3 linked regions of the Notamacropus eugenii genome follow. The protein of the gene in region 2 purifies or fractionates together with the protein of the main gene of each other region. This does not show direct contact. Links are inferred from orthologs where the notes say so. Each region holds a gene or a part of one and is shown on either strand. Other genes may lie near its edges.

Region 1 (7,614 bases), on a different chromosome or scaffold from region 2:
CTTGTATTTCTACACACACACAAAAAAAACCCCACCTTAATGACTCAGGGCTGGAGGTATGATTTTTACACTAGTGTCTATAATAATGGTGTCTTGCTCTGTAATATACCCTTCTGTCAACTTGCCTCCTCCTCTTTTTTGTTTATAATCTTTCTCAAATTATATCTCCTCCCAGACTCCTTCCCTGGTTCTGAATAGTAAAGAGCAGAGGATTTTAACCTGCTGTAAATACGAACCAGGAATAGGGGAGAGGAGAGATAAGGAAAATGAGAATAAACTATGTGCTCCTCCTGACTTTTAGGGATGAGATCATGTCTTCCCATAGGGTTTTTTTTAAGAACAGTATCTAAATATTGTTGGTTTTCACACATTAAAAAATAAAATCTAAGCCTTACACTCCAAAATGACTTTTCAAGAGGTCAATTGTTTTTTATGAGCACTCAAATTGCTAAAGTGCTAACGATTATTTGTAGCATGACGGCACCAAATGCTGCCTAAGAAAAGAGATGCATTTTCATTTCCTGCCGATAGAAAAATATAATGCTTTCAGTAATATCTAAGAAAGAGCAAATACTGGGCTTTTTGGTTACTTCTGAAACATGAAGTATCTTGTACATAAAACAATTTTCTTTCTTCAAAAAGTCCTCAAATATACTACTGCTTCAATTACACACACATACATCTACTACAAAAATCAATCAACAAATATTTACAAAATATATACTCTATGTCTAGCATTGTGTTATATATACTTTTAGACAGTTTACGTTGAATATTTGGAAGATGAAACTTGTTGATAGCATTTATCCTAAAGAAAATTAAGTCCTATCATTTTTCCCCTCATTACTTCCTTTGATGCTTTTAAGATCATTATAGTTTGTGATGAAAAATGTTGTCTATTTCATCAGATGTATAAAGAAGTCATATAAAGGCTACAAGAAGTTGTGGACAAGAAGACACTGAATTACCCTTCAGACCTCTGGCATATAAGCAAAATGGGGAGTAGGGAAGGAGGGAGGGAGAATGTCCAACCTGGCTGATGACCACTAATATCTACTACCTAATATCTACTAAAGTATTCCTTTCACCTTTTTGTTTATGCTCCTTCTGGTCTCCTGACTTGAAACTTACTTTTTACTGGGCCCAGAATGAAGCTCTTGAAATCACTGATGTACCTCATGGCGTGAAAAAGGGGCACAAAGATGAAAGTAACAGACAACAGGATAGGAGAGAGGGAACCAGGTGGTAGAATAGGTGAACCTAGACTCAGGAAGACCTGAGTTCAAATTCTGCCACACATCTTACTAGCTGTGTGATCCTGGAAAAGTCAACTAATCTTTGTATCTCTTAGTCCTCTCAACTGTAAAATCAGGATAACAACAGCTCCTCCTAGAGTTGTTTTGAGGATAAAAAGAGATAAAATTTGTAAACTGTTTTTCAAACTTCAAAGAGCTTAAAGGTCAACAATTATTTAGTTCAAAGGTCAGGAACCTGGCATCTAGAAGTCACATCGGGCTAGGTCCTTGGGTGTGGCCTTTTGACTGAGTCCAAGTTTTACAGAACAAATTCTTTTATTAAGAGGATTTCTTCTGTGAAGTTTGGATTCAGTCTAAGGATAGCACTAGAGGGCCTGGAGGGCCACTCAAGGCCACAGGTTCCCTACCCCTGATCTAGTCCAGCTCCTTACATGAAAATACCATAAGCCTGGAATGTTTAAATGATTATTTGCCCAAGGATACACAGCTAATGTTTAGCAGAGTCCCACCAGATCACCTGAATGCCAAAGTCTGATGGCCGGTCTAAATGATTCACTTATGATACCTTGAGTCAAATCATCAAACTTCATAGTTTCAAGGGTCACAGGAGTTCCCCAGAGGGAAAAGAGGAACTAGGATGACCAGAGAACTACCACAGAGGTGATGCTGCCTATTTGTCTGGTGCAGAGGTTATTAACCTGAACCTTTTTTTTTTTTAATATCTTGATAATGATTTCAATATAGTTGGTTTCCTTTGCATTCCTAGGTGTTTTTTAGTTTATGCATCAACATACATTAAAAAGACATACCTCAAACTCCACCTCCCCATCCAGAGGTAAAACAGACTGCCAAAAGGATTCATGACACACAAGAAAAGTTGAGAACTCTTGGTCTAAGGGATGGAAATTAATAATAGCCTACATTTATATAGCACTATACTGTTTCAGTCCCTTATGACTCTATGAACTCATTTGGGGTTTTGCTGGCAAAGATATTGGAGTGGTTGGCCACTTGTTCTCCAATTCATTTTACAGATGAGGAAAGTAAGGCAAACAGGTTTAAGTCACTTATGCAGGGTCACACAACTAAGTATCTGAGCCCAAATTTGAACTCTGAAAGATAAAAGTCTTTCTGACTCCAAGCCCAGTACTATATCCACTGTGCCACTTGGTTGTCCTAACTACTTCCTATATATAATCGTATTTGATGCTCCCAGCAACCTTGTGGAACAAGGGCTATTACCACCACCACCACCCCCATTTTACAAATGGGAAAACTGAGGTAGCCAGAAGTTAAGAGATTTGCCCCAGTAATACAATTAGAAAGCAATTAAGACCCTATTTGAATTCTGATATCCCAGACTCCAGGTCCAGCAAGTTCATTCACCCAGCTGCCTTTAATAATTTAGAAATAATTCACATGGGTGTAGCGCTGTAAGATTTACAAAATGTTACTAAGTATCATGCTTGATGGTCACAGCTACCTTGAGGAACAACAGAGGCTACCATCTATATCTCCTCTCCCAACTTTGCAAATGGGGAAAATGAGATTGAGTAGACCTTTGAACTCTGTGCTTGACTCCAGGTCCCGCACTCATATAAACTGAGCCACCTGCAGCCTTTAATAATAAATAATAATAACGCACATTGATATAGACTGGAAGATTTGGAAACTGTCTGTTCCTTATACCTGATCATACCTGATCCTCACAGGTGGGGCTTTCGTATTCACTTAAAAATGGAAAAACTGAAGTTGATTGATTTGCCCGTAGTCAGGCAATTAATTCTAAGTCACCTAACTGCCTTTAATAATAAACCATAACGCACACCGAATAGCACAGGGAAATTTGCAAAGCGTTCCTCATACACGATTAGACTTGATCGTTACGGGGGGGGGGGGCTAAGCTTATCACACACTCCCCCCCTCGGGGGCACAGAGACACCCCATCCCTTCGGGGCTGGCGGGGGGCGGGGGCGACGCCGGGGGTGGGGGCGGGGGCGCCCCCTCGCCTACCTCCCGAATCGCGGCCAGCGTGTTCTCGGGGGCATCGTGGCCGCCGCCGCGGTGAGCTATGGCGGAGATGCGGCCGCGGGGCCTGAGCACCTGCAGGGCCCGGCGGTGGGGCACCGGCTCGAAGCTGAAGAAGCGCAGCAGGAGGTAGAAGCTGAAGGTGAAGAGGCAGGTGTTGAAGGGGCTGCGGGTCAGGATCAGCTGCAGCACGAACAGGAAGGAGAAGGAGGCCAGCAGGCCCCCCTGCTCCTCCCACAGCCACATGTCGGGGTCGGGGCCGGCGCCGCCGCGGGCGCCGGCACCCGCAGCCTCCGGGACCCGCCGGGCTCCTCGAGGCGGGGCGCGGGACCGCGACACGATCGGGCCAGTCACCCGCAGAGGGCACCGGCGCGCACAATGGCCGGCCCCGGCACATCCGGAAAGGTAGGCTCCGCGCCGACCAATCAGCACCGCGGAGCTCGGGGCTTTCAAGGCGGGGCGCTGCTATAGCAACGGGACCTAGCGGGCAGGCTGGAGCGTCTGAGGAACTTCGATCGGACTGCGCGGAGGACGGCTCTTCAACCTTGGCTACCACCCCGCGTTCTGGCGGAGGGCCGCTAGGGGGCGCAGAGGCCAAGGCGCTGGCCCCGGCCTGCCTCAGTTTCCTCATCTGCAAAAAAGGGAAGATAATAAAAGCACCTACCTCCCAGACTTGTTGGGAAGATGAAATGAAATTATATTTGTGAACCATTTTGCAAACATCATGTGAATGATCTGATTCAAGAAGCGGACGCTGGGCAATCACACACACTGTGAAGCACTGACACTTCACAGGGGAATGAAGCAAGTGGAACAGCTTTGGAAGCCGGGCATCGCCCAAGAACTCAGGGCTGCTTGGCCTTCTTCCTGGGCTTACTGTTTCATTTTTTAAAAAAATGCTCTTCCGTCCTGCAAGTCTAAGGATGTTCTAAGGCTGGAGACGTCATCTGTAAACCAGTTTGTTGAATATAAAGTTATTTCCTTAAGAGAGATCAGCTGAGAGAACTTGTCTTAAAATACCATTTGTTACATCAGTTCATTTGTTCATCGGTTCTGATTCTGGCTCTTCCACTCATTTGTATGGTGTATAACCTTGATCACATTGAATTCTCTGAAGCTGCTTCCTCATTATTAGTAAAGTAACTGCGTTCTGCTGGTCACTTATGTGACCTTGGGTAAATCACTTAGACCCTTGGCGCCTCTCTGGGAAGTGGGGAATGTTTCATATACCTGGGCGCCTTGGACCAGCATTCGTGGCCACGTCGATGTTTTTAAAGGCGATATTTTCAAAGACAGCACTGTAAGGTCCCTTCCACTTTGACTGCTACAACAGATGACTTAGTTAAAAACAAATCTTTCCCTCTTCTCCCCACCTCCTATTTGGAGGGGGAGGGAGGAGGGAAGCCTGCCTCTTGTGGGAACCACATATCCCAAGATGCAACGTACTCATCCAATCCTGGAGGCCGGACAGGCGGCACGCGTAGCCTTTCGGGAGTTGTAGTTTCTAGTTGGGTAGCCCCAGAACGGAGGCAGTCCCTTTACTCCGGCCCTCCAGCACCGGAAGTGCCTTGCCTGGGAGGCGGAGTGAGGGAGGCGGCGGCGGCGGCGGGCAGCGGCAGCAGCGGTTGCCTGGTGCCGGCGTTGCCGCCTTGAGACCCGTAATATGGCGGGGAGGAGGAGGAGGAGACGGCGGCGGAGCGGGCTGCGCCCTGCAATTAGAGCCTGATCCCTTTGTCTCTCCTTGAGGTCGTGGAGGAAGAAAGAGAGAGAACCCGAAGGGGCCCTGGGGGTTGCGGAAGGGAAGTAGGTGGGTGCCTGGGGTGGGGGGCAGGGCGCTGGGGGCTTCCCACCGCGGCTGGGGGCGGGGACGAGGCGGCGCCTGGGGTCGCCGGGGCTTCCTTCCCTGCCCCTGGCAGTCCTGGCGAACCCCGGTCTGCCTTACCTGGCAGGGTGGGCGAGGGAGAGGCTGGGGTGCATTTGTGGTAGGTCGTGGGAGGAGGAGGAGGAGGAGGAGGAGGATGATGATGATGATCATGATGATGATGATGATGATGATGATGATGATGCGGATGATGCGGGATTGATGGAACTGTGAGCATCACCAGACTGAGCTTCATGCTCCTTCATACTCCTAGGTGGGGTAAGGTGGGGTAAGGGGAAGATTCTAATGCCAGTCGGAAACCTCGGGCGGGGGAACCTGTACACACCTGATTAAAAAAGCAGGAACAATAGAAGTCAATACCCAATTATTTTCCGTGCTTGGGAGGGGTTGATGCCTTACCCTCCCTTTGCATTTTTGAAGAGTAATTCTCTAGCTGAGCAGGCATAGGACCCACTATTTATCTGTTAACTCTTTGCTGCAAGCTACATCTCTCCTATTCAGCTAGTGTTTGTTGAGGCCCTCGTGTTGTGAAACTCTTTAGGTTAGACCTTACTTAGGCCTTTAAAGAAAAAATGGGGGGAAAAAGTGGCCCCGCCCGCAGGATGTTTAATTTATTTGGGGTACAGCGATAAGTAAAAAAATGTGTAAATGTATGATATAATTTGAGAAGGGAGAGCTCTGTGTATGGCATATGAGTAGATCAGTCTAGAAAGTCCTGGAGCTGAAAGGGAATAATGCATTGGATTTTCTTAGGCTGGTGTGAGGTGGTGATGTGGGGAGGTTTCTCTCGTTCAGAGCTGGTCAGGAAATAGCTAATAGGCTAGTTTGACTGAAAGTAAGAATCCTGAAAGTGACTGGGATAGAAATGAGTCTAAAAAGGTACACTGGAACCAGATTGTGAAGAGTTTCAAAAATGCCAGGCTGAGAAGTTTATATTTGATTCTGGAGGCAATAAGGAGCTAGCTGAAGATTTTTGAGAAGGCTGATGTAATCAGACTTATCTAAAACATAATTTTTAATTTTGCTGCTTTGTGGAAGATGAATTGGAAGGGGGAGAGACTGGAATCATGGAAACCAGTTAGGCTGTTGCAGTTCAGGTCATTGGTGATGAGAGCTGATTCATTTGAGTGGAAGGGGACAGGTATGAAGGGCTGTTGTGGAGTTAGTAGAATTGACAAGATTTGACAACTGATTGGATATGGGGTACAAAAAAGAATAAAAATGAGCTCTCTGAAGTTGTAAACCAAATGAATAGAGAGTAATGTCTGTTGGTCTTTATTGCTAGGTTACCACAATAGTTCTCATCTTGCACAGTTGTATCTTACCTTTTCTGAACTTTCTGGTAGAAAGGGAATATTAGATTTCTGGAGTGCTGAATTAATAACGAGTAGGGTCCTAAACTTATGAGATTACCAAAGGATTTCTAAGAAAGGGCTGACCACCCAATTATGTCCAACTTGGGAGCAGCTAAAAAAAGGGAATAATACGTGGTACTGTAGTTACGGTTGGGGTGGCTTTGTGACCTGGGATGGCTTGGTGACCAGAGGCACTCTTTAAGTTTAAAACTTATTAACAGTGGATTGTGATATGAGTAATTCAGCATCCACCTATCTAATCATATGTAACATAGATTACTCACTTTTTAAATGGTTGACATTGTAATTTAGAGGTACTAATTTGCCCATGAGAGGAGGATTGCCAATGAAACTAATCTCGAAATTCTTCTGTTCTTGGATGAATGTTTGATTTACTTTTTTTGAAGGGCTTGGAAATAGGAATAGTTGATAGATGCTTTCTTCAGATCAAGTTGATTAGTTTCTACTCATAGATACAAGATTTCCATTTCTAAATCTCCTTTGCATTTTGCAAGAGACTCTCTGCAAATAGAACTTAAAACTGTGTTTGATACGTACTATTGGTAAAATATTCTAAGGCATTTGTTTCCACAATTCTCATGAGATAAACTTGTGAAACTTGGCAGTGAGTTGGCAGAGGCAAAATGGAATGTGAAGTTTAGCTTGATTATTTTAGGAGGTACATGTATTTAATATATAGTGCATGATAAAATATCTGTAGAAGTCTACTTTTGAGGACTGAGTTAAAGCTATTTTTCAGTGTTCACACTGAAACAAGGTTCATTTAAGTTTTCTTGCTTTTATTCTGTGAAGAGAAGAGTTCTGTAAGTGGAGTCAGGAGAACGTGATCAACCAACGTACAACATCTATTCTGTGCCAGGCACTGTGCTAGGTTAGGGGATACAAATACAAAGAATTACATTCTACCAGTTGCATTAGCTGTGTGCCCATGGGCAAGTCACTTAAAAAATTTGGATTTGTACCTCTTTCCTCATTTGTAAAATGGTCATAAATACCTCATAGGGTTGTTATGGGAAGCAAATGGGATGTAAAGCATTTTGCAAACTTTAAAGCACTATGTCAAGGTTAGCTC
Region 2 (7,371 bases):
ATGGAAGGAGATAGATGCAAGTGATGTTGTAGAGGCAAAATTGACAAGATTTGCCAAACGATTGGAGAAGGATGTGAGATAGCCTGGAAGAGACAAGGATGACTTCAATTTGAAAACTTGGGTTATTGGAAGTATGGTGGTACCCTCTGCAGAAACAAGGAAGCTTGGAGGAGTGGGTTTAGTGGAAAAGAAAATGAACTGCATTTTGTGCATATTAGTTTGGAGAAGTTGATTAAGATCCACTAGGAGGCAGTGGGTGATGAAGGATTGGAACTCAAAGAGAGATTAGAGATGTGTGTTGTATACAGACTTAAGAATCATCTGCATAGAAATAATAATTAAACCCATGGGAACAGATGAGATCACCAGAAAAGAGGGGGTAAAGAGAGAAAAGATGGCCCAGGACAGAGCCCAAGGGATGCTCATACATAACAGGCAAGAGATGGAAAATGATCCAGCAAAGGAGTGGTCAGATGATGGGTAGGAAAAAAACAGGGAGAGGAAATGACATAGGCCACTAAGGAGGGTAGCAGATATGATGTGCTTTACAGTGTGCAAAGTATTATTACACATATCTTATTTAATCTTCACAACCATCCTATAAGGTAGATATTACAGGCATTACTCTCCCCATTTTAAGTCAGTTTAGCTGACTTTCTCATAGTCACACAGCTAAGCAACTTTCCAAACTGGGATTTGAACCCAAGTCCAATGGTCTTTCACTACACTATTCTGCCTTCTCTTTATTAAACACTCAAAAGCATTTGACTCATAACTATAGTAAGCAAATGTGGCTGCTCAGAGAAATTCCAGGAGATCCTAAGGGATTCTCTGATAATTTCGAGAATTGTTAACAAGAGCTACCGTATCCTAAGATTGCCCATAAGTAATAGATCAAAATTAAACAGAGCTGGTACAGTAAGACTGAAATTAACATATGAGATGCAGTGTGGCAGAGTAAATGGAGGGCCAGGAAAACCCTGTGACCATGATTAAGTCAGTTTGAGACTCTTCAGGTCCATCTGTATATGTGGATCACAACTCCACAATGACATCCTCTTAATACAAAGGTAAATCATGCATTATGCACAGTGAAATCAATTATTTATATTCCTGATGCCAGGGCCTCAGTACCAGCAGGCTTGTACAAGCCTCCTAATTTCTATCTTGAGAGCAATAATTGCCCTCAGACTAATTACTCAGTGAATACTCTGTTTCTGAGAGCAGGAAAATGAGATGTTCCATGGAAGAGAAGGTTTCTCTCCATAACCCCAAATATTCACAGAATCAGAGCTGAAAGAACTTCAGCAACCATCTAGTGCAATACATGACCATACAGGAATTCCCTTTGCAACAACTCCAGCCATATGTAGATCTGTAGATATCTAAAGAGAAAATCCACTACCACTCCATCTTCTGGCTGCAGTTGCCTTATCTGTAAAATGAAGAGACTAAACTAAGTGACGACTAAAGTCCTTTCCTCCTTTCCAGCTCAAAAATCTATGATCCTATGAACTCTCAAGGCAGCCCAATTCATATCCGGATATTTCTGACTGTTAAGAAAGATTTTCCTTTCATGAAGACTAAATGCTTGATTCCATGTGAAATGCAACCTGGGCAATTACTTCTGCATGTCTACAACCTCTTCAGCAGACCACAGCTACTGAAGGCCCAGGAAAGAAAGTTCTTACCACCAAGATCCTGTACCTATCAAATGGTTCAATATCAGAAACAAATGATTTGATCAGTGGAAATGGCATTAAAGAAGATTCAATACCACCTGCATTGCTCCTGTATCCAAAGGATCCTGTTCTCCTAACAAGCAGCTGAAAATGGGTTGTCTCCCCATTAGAGTCAGTCATTGAGGCAGATAGGCAGTGTAGTGGATTGATAGCCTGGCTTGGAATCCAGCAGACTTGAGCTCAAATTGAACCTCAGACACTTAAAAGCTGTGTGATCCTAGGAAAGTCACTTCCCTGCTTGCTTCAGTTTCCCCACCGGTAAAATGGGGATAACAATAGCCCCTACCTCCAAAGATTATTGTGAGGATCAAATGTGGTATTTGCATTACTTAGCGTACTGCCTCTGACACACAGTGAGTGCTTATATAAAGATTAGCTACTATTATTTTTAGTTTCATTACAATGTGAGTTCCTTCAGCTCAGGAAATCTTATTTTCTATTTGTATCCCTCGTTCATGGCACAGAGCTTTTCACTGCTTTTTGATCATTCATTCATTCACTGATCGGAGTGCCATAACTTACTTTAGTAAGTTGTCACAAGTTTGCAAATCCATTCATTCATCCAAACCCTTCTCGAAGCACTTTAAATGAGTGGGTAACATCCTTTACTTTGCCGAGTCTCATGCTTCGTTCTCCCTAAGGCCTGGACGAAACTATTTTAGAGTGAGTTCTGATCAGCGGTTAAGGAAGGACTCCCCATGCCTTTAGGAAAAGCCAGCCTCGGGAGGGGCTTCCTTCCAGGTGAGGGGCACACGAGCAGGGGCGTACCCTTAGATAACCTCTCCCGACACGTAGTAGGTGCTACAACAATGTTTACGGAACGTCTGCGCAGGAGGGGCGGGGCTAGAGCTGCCGGGAGGCGCGGAAAGGGCTCCGGGACACATCGGATAAAGCTGCTGGGAGAGGCTTAAATCCCCAACGTCCCGCTCCGGCTCTGGGTTCGCGCCGGGCCGCTCGGCACCGGAGCCCACGCGGCCCCCTCCACCCCCGGAGCCCCACGCGGCCCCCTCCACCCCCGGAGCCCCACGCGGCCCCCTCCACCCCCGGAGCCCCACGCGGCCCTCTCCACCCCCACCCTCAGCCCCCGCCTGGCCCGGGCCTCTCCCGGGCCCCCTCCGACCGCCGCGTCTCCCTACCTCGGGAGCGCCATTCCTCTCTCTCACCTACTGAGGCAGCCGAACCTCTGACTGCGGCCGCTCGGACACCCCGGGCCGCTGCCCCTAGCGACACAGCGGCACGTCAACAAACCGCCCCGCCGAGAAGGCGAGGCCGCGTCCCCATGGCAACACCGCCAAGCATCCGTTCAAACGCCGCGCCGACTCCCGCGCGCGCCGGCCAGCCCCGGGAACCCGCCAATAGGAACCCTGGGAGGAGGGGGAGGGCGGGAGCGGGCCGAGTCGCCCCACCCTCCCTGCTCTTAGACCAATCATAAGCTACTAGGAAACAGTGGGTGGGGAAAGGGAGGATTCTCGGCGAATCGCGAAGTCAGAACCTCTCTCTTTCCTCCAGTTGGTGAGAAAATCTCGCGATATCTTACGCGCCTGGGACGAGATGAGACAGTAGCAAAGTCTATTGGGCCTGCTCGCTCTCGGCGGAGCTTCTTGATTGGTAGGAGAAGTGTCAGTTTCCCATTAAGTTCTTCCCCACACTCGCGGCCCAGGAGGTAGGTTGTTGTTGGAGGCAGGGGGGCGGGGAGCTTTTTAACCTCTTTGATCCCGCGACGGGGGTCCATGCGTCCCTGAAATAGTGGCTTTATTAACTGATCTGAGGAGATCGAAGGGGAAAGTAAGGCCCTGGGGTCGGGGATGGGGAAAATCCTTTTTTTAGGTTGTACTTTGTAACTTACTAACGTATGTTCCAGTTGCTTCTCGTTGACAGAATATAAGCACCCTGAGGGCAGGATCTATTCCCCTTTTTTTGGTTTTTGGATGCTCAGGGACTACCCCTGCCCGGCCCACGTGGATCGTGGCCAATTGAATGAAGGAGAACGTTGGCTGGGATGCCAGGGTGTGGAAGGCCTTGTTTGCAAAAAGCTGCCCTCTTGCCCCAGCCCCCACCAGCCCCGCCCGACCTAGTTTGGTGGGCCAGGTGAGGGCACCTTGGCTCTCGTCCTCCCAGGACTGCCCCCTGCAGTCCAGTTGGTGCGAGAGGCTGGTAATGCCGGGCTAGGTGGTTCACTCTCTCTTCTTTAAGGATTTTATAGTTTGATAGGGGCCAAGGTCTCCCAGTGCATCCTGGGCCATCTTCAGTCATCCTGATGACTATCTGGTCACTGGATTCAGATGGCTCTGGAGGAGAAGAGTCTGGTGACCCGCACAGCCCTCCCTCACTCAAAACAAAGTCAAGCGCAAGGCATGTCATCATTTCTCTTCTGCAACGAAGGATGAAAACAGCAACGATATAGTTTGATAAGGGGATGGGATAAAGGGAGAACCAGAACCGTAAGCACCAGTAACTAATACCAGAGAATGAGAGAAATTCCGTGGAGATAGATCCAGACCAAGGATTGTGAATTTTGAGCGTTGCCTTTCAGCTAATGGTAGGCTTCGGAGGTATTTAGGAAAGACTTCATGAAGGAGATGCCTAGTTGAATCTTGAAAAAGTGAGGAATTTCAGGAACTATTGGTGAAGGGAAATGGTTTGTACAAAGGTATGGGACCTTGAAGGAGAAAAGTCCAGTTAGGGTGGAATATAGAATTTGGGAAGAGGAGAAGTATGAGACAAATTGGAGCTAAATTGTGGAGAGCCTCAAATGTTAGGGATAGGAGTTTATACTTTGGAAGGCAATAGGGATCTACTAAAATTTTTTCAGTGGAGGAGTAATATAATCCTACTGGTGCCACAGACCCATCTAATGGAGAGGCTATACAATGGAGGGAGAAAGTTTAGTTAAGAAATGGTTATAATCATCAACATGAGCAGAGATGAAAGTCTAAACATAGATTAGTTGGAGAGAGGAGACTGGGGAGGTGAGGCTGGGTGCCAGAGATGTTGTTAAATTAACAAAAACAGAATCTGACAACTGATTGAATGTTAGTTGAGGTTATGAGCCTGGGAAACTGGGATAGAGATGGCACTATTCTTGAAGAACTGAGGTGCAGGTTTACAAGGAAAGATAATGAGTTCCAATAGATTGAGTTAGGCGGCAGGCTCCTGGAAATATATAGGCATGGAACTCTGGGAAAGTGTTGGAGTTGGAAATAAAAAAATTGGGAGTCATCTGTATTAAAAATAATCTTTGAAACCATGAAAGTAGATTAGATCATCAAAGTGGAGAGTTTAGAAAGAGAAGAGGAAGACATCCACCTTTAAGACCTGTGGAACGTTGTTACGCTGTTATTACTGTTGAAGTCTTGTCTATTCTTAAGGCTCAACTCAAATGCTACCACCACCAGAAAGTAACTTTTCCTGACTACTGAGAAAGGACTTTGATGTTTAAAAAAAAAAAAAAAAGAGAAGGTTTTAATAAAACTTGTTTTTCCAGAATCCCTGCCCTTGCGAACCTTATAGCACAGGAAAAGGATGTGAGATACATACATACACACACATATGTACAGTGATGTGTGTGTGTATATCACTACGCTTTTATGGATATTATAATGTCATCTGTACCGATTAAAACATCTCTTTATAATGTATTTTATAATTTTTATCCATATAATCTTTATAAAGGTTCCACTCTTCTTTCTTTTACTGTCTTGAGGGTAACAGTGTCTCACTGTCCATAATATGTAAATACATTAGAGAACTACAAGGAAAGTGTTTTGTGAGGTCTGAAGAAAGATTATTACCTAATGGGAAAATTAGCATAGAAGATCTAGTATTTGAGTTGTGTTTTAAGGACAGGAATTCAATAGATAGGAAGGAGATGATTCCAGGAATAGGGAAAAGTGGGAACTAAAGTTCTACAAGCGCAAATGATAACAAGAAGTACAATTTGACTGGAATGTAGAAAATACCAAGGGGAATAGTAAGAGATAAACTGGAGAGTTAGGGAGGTACCACAATGTTAAGAGCCTTGAATGCCAACTGACAGTTTGAAACTTAACTTACTAAGCAATAGGAAACCTCTGAAGATTTTTGAGTAGAGCAGTGACATGACCAGATTAAGTACATAGGACCAAGATTACAAATATGAATAATGGGGCCCTATTTAAGGCAAAGAGAATAATAGGCTTCTTTTGAAGCATAGTAAGTTTGAAGTCCTAGTGGAACATCCAAGTAAAGATCTTCTAAATTGGCAATTAGAGATGCAGGTCCAGAGGTCAGGGAAAAAACAGTTAAGGCTAGAGCTAAGTCCCCTGAGTAGAAGTAACAGTCACAGTGTTGGGATTTTGTGAGGTTGCTGAAGGAAAGAGCAGAGAGATAAACCAAAAAATCTCCTGGGAACACTCAAAGACAAGGATGCTAGTGAGGAGGATAAAATTAGAGAGGTTGGAGAAGAAGCAAAACAGTATGGTATCAAGGAGAAGCCAGAGGTCAAAGGTAGAGAGAATATGTACAAGTTGGGCTTGATCAGATAATCCAAAGAGCCCCAGGAGGATGAGAACTGAAAAAGAAATGGATTTCTTGATGACGAGGTCATTGATATTTGAGAGAATGATTTCAGTAGAATGGTAGAAATGGAAGCCAAATTGTGGTGAGAAAGTAGAGGGAATAGCCTGGTTGGTGGATTCAAAAGAGCACCGTAGGCTAGGGATTCTTAACTTTTTTTGTGTTCACCTTTGACAATCTAGTGAAGCCTTTGGACCCTTTCTCAGAATAATGTCTTGAAATGCATAGAATAAAATGCACAGGGTTATAAAGGGTTATTATTATTTTAGTTATTGAAGATATTAGTTAATAATAATGCCTGTTATATTATAAAGAGTGTTAAGGTTTGCAAAGCACTTTATAAATATGATTTTCATCTTATCCCCTCAATAACCCTTTGAAGTAGGTGCTTTTATGAAACCCATTGTACAGAGGAGAAAACTGAGGCAGAGGTTAACTGACCCAGAGTCATCTAGCTAATAAACAGGCCAGATTTGCCCTCAGGTCTTCCTGACTCTAGAACTAGCACTCTATCCACTGTGCTACCTGGCTGTGGTTCTCTGTGTTAAAATTTGATAATTATTTTGCAGTACAGTTTTCAAGCTATCAAAAAATATATACATACATATATATACATGCACACATATATATGTATGTATGTCCTCATTTGAAGATGTCTGTGACATTCAAGAAACCTAAGTTCTAATACAGTTTCTGCTACTAAACAGCTGTGTGACCTGGACAAATCACTTCTCTTACTGGGCTAATTTGTTTGTAAAATGACAGAGTTTTAATAGATAATCTGTAAGGTGCCTTCCATCTCTAACAGTCTATAATTCTACAACTCATTTATATTGGAGGAAGAAGAAAAGATATTACAAGAATAATTAAATTAATTTTTATGTTAGGGAACATTTAGCTCAGTACATCTATGGAGAGTGAAAGAAAGGGAATAAAACTCAAAACAAAAAAGTAGATAGGGAGAAAAGAGAAAACTGAAGATCCGAACCTGGGAGACAAGGAAGGGTTCTGATCTCCCTTTAAGAATTATTTACACGCCGAACAATTCCATCAGCTTTGGGTTTGCTGCCTATTA
Region 3 (7,441 bases), on a different chromosome or scaffold from region 2:
ACTGAGCCAGGGAGGTGGCCCTGCCCTGACCTGAGCACCTAAACTTAATCACACACTGAATAGCAGCCCTGCCACCGCCAAAAGCCCTGAGGCTGGCAAGCAGCATTTGAATCTCAAACCCCAAGTGTTGGCTGGGAGGATCCGGAGGCGAGGTGGTGTGAAGAGAATATTCAGAAGTCAAATCACTGGCTGGGAAAATGCCCAGAAAAGGGAAAAGAAATAAGACTATAGAAGGTTACTTTCTTGGTGAACAGGCATTTCCTCCCTTCCTTTCTGATGAGGAAGAACAATGCTTACCATCAGGCAAAGACACAGAAGTCAAGGCCTCTATATCCCAGCCCACTCAATGGGCTCAGGCCATAGAGGGCTCATAGAAAATCAAGTTAGAGAGGTGGAAGAAAAGCTGGGAAGAGAAATGAGAGACATGCAGTCAAAGCATGAACAGCAGATCAGCTCCGTGCTAAAGGAGACCCAAAAAAATGCTGAAGAAAATAACACCTTGAAAAATAGGCTAACTCAATTGGCAAAAGAGGTTCAAAAAGTCAATGAGGAGAAGAATGCTTTCAAAAGCAGAATCAGCCAGATGGAAAAGGAGATTCAAAAGCTCACTGAAGAAAATAATTCTTTCAAAATTAGAATGGAACAGATGGAGGCTAATGACTTTGTGAGAAACCAAGAAATCACAAAACAAAACCAAAAGAATGAAAAAATGGAAGAGAATGTGAAATATCTCATTGGAAAAACAACTGACCTGGAGAATAGATCCAGGAGAGACAATTTAAAAATTATGGGCCTACCTGAAAGCCATGATCAAAAAAAGAGCCTAGACATCATCTTTCATGAAATTATCAAGGAAAACTGCCCTGAGATTCTAGAACCAGAGGCCAAAATAAGTATTCAAGGAATCCACAGATCACCGCCTGAAAGAGATCCCAAAAGAGAAACTCCTAGGAACATTGTGGCCAAATTCCAGAGTTCCCAGGTCAAGGAGAAAATATTGCAAGCAGCTAGAAAGAAACAATTCAAGTATTGTGGAAATACAATCAGGATAACACAAGATCTAGCAGCTTCCACATTAAGGGATCGAAGGGCATGGAATAGGATATTCCAGAAGTCAAAGGAACTAGGACTAAAACTAAGAATCACCTACCCAGCAAAACTGAATATAATACTTCAGGGGAAAAATTGGTCTTTCAATGAAATAGAGGACTTTCAAGCATTCTTGATGAAAAGACCAGAGCTGAAAAGAAAATTTGACTTTCAAACACAAGAATGAAGAGAAGCATGAAAAAGTAAATAGCAAAGAGAAGTCATAAGGGACTTTACAACAGTTGAACTGTTTACATTCCTACATGGAAAGACAATATTTGTAACTCTTGAAACTATTCAGCATCTGGGTACAGGGTGGGATAACACACACACACATGCACATGCACACGCACACACACATAGAGACAGAGTGCACAGAGTGAACTGAAGAGGAGGGGATCATATCTTAAAAAAAAAATGAAATCAAGCAGTGAGAGAGAAATATATTGGGAGGAGAAAGGGAGAAAAGGAATGGGGCAAATTATCCCTCATAAAAGAGGCAAGCAAAAGACTTTTTAGTGAAGGGAAAAAGAGGGGAGGTGAGAGAAAAACATGAAGTTTACTCCCATCACATTCCACTAAAGGAAGGAATAAAATGCACAGTCATTTTGGTATGAAAACCTATCTTACAATACAGGAAAGTGGGGGATAAGGGGATAAGCAGGATGGGGGGGATGACGGAAGGGAGGGCACGGGGAGGAGGGAGCAATTTGAGGTCAACACTCATGGGGAGGGTCAGGATCAAAAGAGAGAACAGAAGTAATGGGGGACAGGATAGGATGGAGGGAAATATAATTAGTTCTTACACAACACTACTATTATGGAAGTCATTTGCAAACCTACACAGATCTGGCCTATATTGAATTGCTTGCCTTCCAAAGGGAAGGGGTGGGGAGGGAGGGAGGTGGAGAAGGTGTCTTCTCATATTTCTTCGCACTTTGGTTGCTCCACTTTGCATTAATTCATATAAATTAGGGATTGATTTTTAGTAGATTTCAAAGATAGGAATAGCACAAAAGAATGGAAAGGATCATAGATGATATTATTACTTCAAAGAAAAGAGCAATGAGGCTGGTATTAGCAACTACTGACCCATATGTCTACTTTTCCATCTCTATAAGATCTTTAAGAGAAAGGTCTATGAATATATCAAGGGTCTTTCTGGTTTGGATGTGATTTTGTTGTTGGTTGTGTTTGTTGTTGGGTCATTTTTCAGTTGTCTTGGAGACCTCATTTGGGGTTTTCTTGGCAAAGATACTGGAGTGGTTTGCCATTGTCTTCTCCAGCTTATTAAGCAAGGCAAACAAGGTTAAGTGACCAGTCACACTGTTAGTAAGTGTCTGAGTGTTTGAACTCAGGAAGATGAAGACCCCAGACTCTTGGCCTGGCATTCCATCCACTGTGCCACTTAGCTGAGTTCTTTGGTATAGGGAACTCTCAGTAAGGGGATTTCTTCTATCAATGCAGATAAGAAACTGCTCCAAACAAATTGTAGTTTCACAGGTTGTACAGAGTACTTCAAGGTTAAGAGACAACCGCCCCCTCTCCCTGTCTAGGCCGTACAACCACTGTTCATTGGAACCCTAACCCTGAATGCACCTCCAACTTGAAGCCAAGCTCTGAAGCCAGCTCTTTTTTCACCATGCCATACTGCCTACACGCAGTGAATGACTGTTTGTGAATGACTGTTTATAGCAGATCATACCTTCTCACCTGATTGAGAAGGGAAAGAATCCATTTACTACTCAACAAACATTTAATTAAGAACCTACTATGTGTCAGGCACTGTGCTAAGTGCTGGGAATACAAAGACAAATCTGAACCATTTTCTGAGTTTGTTATTTATTGATTACAGAAAAATGCATTTTACTTGCTAGAGGAAAATACAGCCTTAAGCCACCTTTCAAACAAGGCGTCATCTATTCATAAATTAAGGTTAAATAAAGTCCTTGAGTGAGATATAACTTTGTTCAATGATCTTCAACTTATCAATATCAAGTCCTGGACAAGGAGACATATTCGTGGAAAAGGTTTGCCTGCTGTGTTGGATGTTATTCTGCTCAAAGTTCAAACAGAAGAACAATTTCCTGTGGGTGGTGAAGTTTTCCTGCTGGATGTGGATGGCTTTGAATCATGGATTCATCGGCAAATGATCTATAGTCACTGATAACACAAGCCTCAGGTTTATTTGTGTCCCCTGGGTTCTCTTATTCTTGTGTGGTAATTAAAAGGGACTCAGATATACTGACCTCATTTAGTTCTTTTTTTTAATTGTCCCTCAAATGAATATGACTTCAGGGGAGGAAGCAAGGACTTAGAATATGCAAAAAAGTCTTTAAGGGCTCTGGACAAAGGTTAGGTACAAGAGCTTCTGCCCTTGGCCAAATCATACTCACTTTCCTTATGTTCCTTGAAGTCTTTTCCCTTCCCATACTTCAAACTTGTGGGTTCTTTAAAGCTCCTGTTCACTACCTCACTTCCACTCTTACCCTTCCTTTGGGACAGCTAGGTGGTGCAGTGGTTAGAGCACTAGGGCAGGCGTCAGGAGGACCTGAGTTCAAATCTCACCTCAGGCAAGACACTCACTAGCTGTGTGACCTTGGGCAAGTCACTTAACCCCAATTGCCTCATCCTGGGTCATCTCCAGTCATCCTGATGAATATCTGGTCACTGGATTCAGATGGCTCTGGAGGAGAAGTGAGGCTGGTGACCTGCACAGCCCTCCCTCGCTCAAAACAAAGTCAAGTGCAAGTCATGTCATTATTTCCCTGATGGCATGGTCTTCTTCGGCAACGAAGGAGGAACACACCCTTCCTTAGGACCAACTAACTCATATTCTCTCTCCTTTTTATTCTATATGATTAATCACTGTACTAACTTCACACGCCTACCGCCACTATTCAGTTACCACCTTCAAGAAGATATCTCCTAAGTATGTCTAGAGAATTACAGACAACCATTAAACGTGGTGCGATCTTCCTGTAGGATGATATTTAGTCGTTTTGCTCCCTTTCTGGGATAACACATTATAATGAGTGAACAGGCTTTCAATATGGGTTAAGAAGCAGGGGATGGAGGGAGGAGGTAGCAGGTATAGGAAACAATTTGCCAATTATTTAAACTACTGTTTCTAAGTTATTTCCAGCTGTATAATTGGACTCCAATATTACTTTAATTTATTAAACCCTCTCTACCAACCAGAAGGCAATGGGTTCTCCCTTCCCACTGGCCCTGGGGAGGAGGTTGTGAGTGGGGGGTGTTGAGGCATGGGCGCTGTGCATCTTGGGAATAGTAGTTTTGCGCTAGCCCAACTAGACTACATACCCCACAGAGCTTCGGGAAGTCAGTTGCCTGGTGTTAGCAAGCGGGAAGTATGGCAATGGCGGCGCGGAGCGACGCGGCTTTATTACCACGAGAAGGTAAAAGTACCTTGTTCGTTTAGTTTAGAAATCCTTTCGCTAAGCCCGTTTACAGTAATCGCCTCTCCACAGAAGTTGGAGTCCCCATTTTATTGCTGCGTTTCAGTTCATATCTTCTCTAGCTGCAGTTAAGCTTGGCGTCTGGGGCGGCGGGGAGTGCTGCCCTCTGGGAGTTGTAGTCTTCCCGCGCTCTGTAGCTCCTTCGGTGACAGGGCGAGGGCCAGAGGGGCTGGACTACAGCTCCCAGGGGACTTCGTTCAGCACCCCACCCCCCACCCCCCGCGCTGATCCCGCTGCTTGTTTGGTTTGTTTGGGGTTGGGGAAGAGTCCTCCCTGGTTGGGAACTGGGCCGAACTGGGAAGAATGAAGAGCTAAATTTGGCAAGAGCATACTCCCCACACCCTCACTCCCCTTCACTCTGCCCCTAGTCTCTCGTTCATCATCTTCCCGTAGGAGGGGACTGATGACTTTGATGAAGTGGGGGCCGGGCGGTCTCAGGTAGGAGCATCATTCATGGACCCACCTGGTCCTCAGGTGAGAGGCTGAGAGACTGGGCCTTGTCTACATGCGGATGGGATGGGTCCTTCCTTATCAGAGCATTCCTCCTCCGCCTTTGCCCAGGCAGGTTGTCACCTTTGTTTTGGCTGGGACTGCAGAGGTTGAGACTGTGTACCCGGTTCCCCCTGCTTGGAGAGGGAACCAGCATCAAAGGTTTTCCATAAAACATTTTTTGAGCCAGTGAACTCCAGATCCAGCGCTCATTCCACAGCATCATGGAAGCCCTTGTGATGAGAGAATACCCATACAGGTTCCCCCCTTTCTGTCCCCCCCACCCTCCCATTGTGAGGTTTATAGCCTATTCTGACACTAGGATCTGGGAGGAAATGAAAAAAAAAACTGGAAGGGGGGAGCACTAGGGGGAACGCCTGGCAGTTTGAGCCTCAAAAGTGGTTTTTGTTGGGTTTTTTTTAGGGAAGGCAGGAGAAGGAGAAGAAAGAGGTCTTCAAAGAGAAATTGTGCTTATCATACCCACTGGCCACCAGATCCTAGTGTCAGAATAGGCTATAAACCTCACGTGTTTTCTTTGGCTCTGGCATAAGGAGTCTTTTCATAACTGTCTAATTTATTTGTGATTTTGACAAGCATACTGTGTTTGTTTACCAGCACCCTTGTGGAGAGAGGAAATCTTCATTTTCTCTCCTCCCACTCCCCAACATAAATGCAGCCTTTAGGGGACTTGCCTCCTTGAGAATATGTTTGTAGCACAATTTGAAATACATGCTGTGACAGATTTAAAGCTAGAACTCTAGAACGCCTCAGTTTGTGAAAATTTGAAACTAGTTTTAACCTTTTCCAACTTAAGTCAATTTCTTATGCCTAGAAAAACAGCTGTGCAAAATATAGGGAAAAATCCTAGTTGAGGCCATTTCATTCCATCACTTCATCCATATCCCTAGAGTTGGCAGAAAATAATATGTTCACATACTTTCAACTCCCACTGCCCTTACTTTATATACTCCAAGAGGAGCTTCTTCCTTTAAACTTGAATATTGTCAAGAGGTTGGAAAGTGGAAGAATGTTACATAGAAGAGGAAGGGGAGAAAGGGAGAACTTTGTACTTGGAGTTAAAATAAGCAACAAACTTAAGGCTCTTTTTGAAGGAGAGAAAGATATGCCCTGAGTGAAAAGTGCCTCTTTTGTCCTCCAGAGCAGGCTAAAATAGAGCCACAGGAGTGATCAGGTGAGAAATCATCTAGTAAAAAGTCAGAGGAAGGAGAGAAAAATAGTGGTGATAAGTAATCTGGAGTTCTCAATTAGCTATTTGTTGACCTGATCATAACAGTGGAGAGGTCTGTTGTCTTTCTGAGACAAGTATCCAAGGCATAGCAGAAAACCTTCCAAATCTTGTCGAAAAGAATGACCGCTATGCACTTATTGTTATTCTGTGGTAGTTGTGCTATTTGGCTACAAATAACTATGAGAAGGAACCTAGAAAATATTAAATATTACAAAACCATGTGCTAAACATGGGCACTTTTCCTCATTATTCCCTATCAAAAGCAATGTATACAGAAAAGAAAAATTGATTTGAAAAGTTAATAGGTTAGTAACAAAGTGGTATCTGAGAATGGTTGGACTTTTGGATCATGGCTTAAAATAAAGGGATGGCTGACTACTGGCCAGGGATAGAATCTTCCTAACAAAGGCTGGTAACAATTTATCAGGTATTTTGCAAATCTAATCCAAAGGGCTTTAAATTAAAAGCGAGTGGGGAAGTAGTATGTCCGTATTGAAGAAAAGATACAGTGAAGGAAAATCAAAAACATCTGAGATGCCCAGAAGTTCACAGTAGACAAAAATCCAGGAAAAGGGCCTGTAGTAAAATCCATAGTTGCAAATGACAGGGGTGTGCTAGAGCTAGCTGGAACTGGCTTTCAAGCCAGTTGTTAAATTTTCAGTGTGAGCATTTAGGTATAAATCAAGTTTTGGTTTATATTTTTATTGACTATCTAGACTTAAGGACACGAGAAAATGTTAATTATTTAGGTTAAATTGAAAAGCTTTTTGGGGTACGTTTTCTTTTCCAGAGAGCCAATTAAACATTTATTAGCCACTTCTGACAATGCCCAAAGTTCAGGCAGCAAGCAAGAGGAATAGACATCATACTACAGGGAGGCAAATTTGGTTCATGTTGTGGATGGGGAAACTGAAGCTTTAAAAAGTCATGAAATTGTCTGCAGAATCTTGGAGGTAGTTTATCTTTACTCTCCAGTTTTGAGCAAATGTTTTCACTTCCTCTGGGCCTCATTGTTCTTATCTGTAAAATGAGGGGGCCGCAACTCACCTCTTTTAGTAGAGGGTGGAAGGCCACATCTTCTGAATGGCCCAGTTTTCCCTTAGCTCCTCCAACAATTGTCATCTTCCTTTTTAGT

Evidence for each region.
Region 1: the proteins of KIF24 (region 2) and CCP110 purify together in Homo sapiens (co-immunoprecipitation; 4 studies listed by BioGRID and IntAct, with this or other methods). This does not show direct contact. The link is inferred for Notamacropus eugenii from reciprocal best matches to the Homo sapiens genes KIF24 and CCP110.
Region 3: the proteins of KIF24 (region 2) and CEP97 purify together in Homo sapiens (co-immunoprecipitation; 4 studies listed by BioGRID and IntAct, with this or other methods). This does not show direct contact. The link is inferred for Notamacropus eugenii from reciprocal best matches to the Homo sapiens genes KIF24 and CEP97.

Annotation. Positions count from the first base shown.
Region 1 is NC_092874.1:399,742,407-399,750,020, reverse strand, and holds the start of CCP110 (centriolar coiled-coil protein of 110 kDa), read left to right. Parts: upstream 1-4,525; 5' UTR 4,526-4,584; intron 4,585-4,848; exon of another isoform or gene 4,849-5,091; intron 5,092-7,614. Other genes in the region: GDE1 (glycerophosphodiester phosphodiesterase 1), read right to left, coding at 3,270-3,530.
Region 2 is NC_092872.1:77,210,300-77,217,670, forward strand, and holds the start of KIF24 (kinesin-like protein KIF24), read right to left. Parts: upstream 3,080-7,371; 5' UTR 2,906-3,079; exon of another isoform or gene 2,879-2,905; intron 2,695-2,878; exon of another isoform or gene 2,265-2,694; intron 1-2,264. UniProt on the Homo sapiens protein: Microtubule-dependent motor protein that acts as a negative regulator of ciliogenesis by mediating recruitment of CCP110 to mother centriole in cycling cells, leading to restrict nucleation of cilia at centrioles.
Region 3 is NC_092876.1:368,364,760-368,372,200, reverse strand, and holds the start of CEP97 (centrosomal protein of 97 kDa), read left to right. Parts: upstream 1-4,404; 5' UTR 4,405-4,462; coding exon 4,463-4,508; intron 4,509-4,518; exon of another isoform or gene 4,519-4,744; intron 4,745-4,807; exon of another isoform or gene 4,808-5,042; intron 5,043-7,441. UniProt on the Homo sapiens protein: Acts as a key negative regulator of ciliogenesis in collaboration with CCP110 by capping the mother centriole thereby preventing cilia formation. Required for recruitment of CCP110 to the centrosome.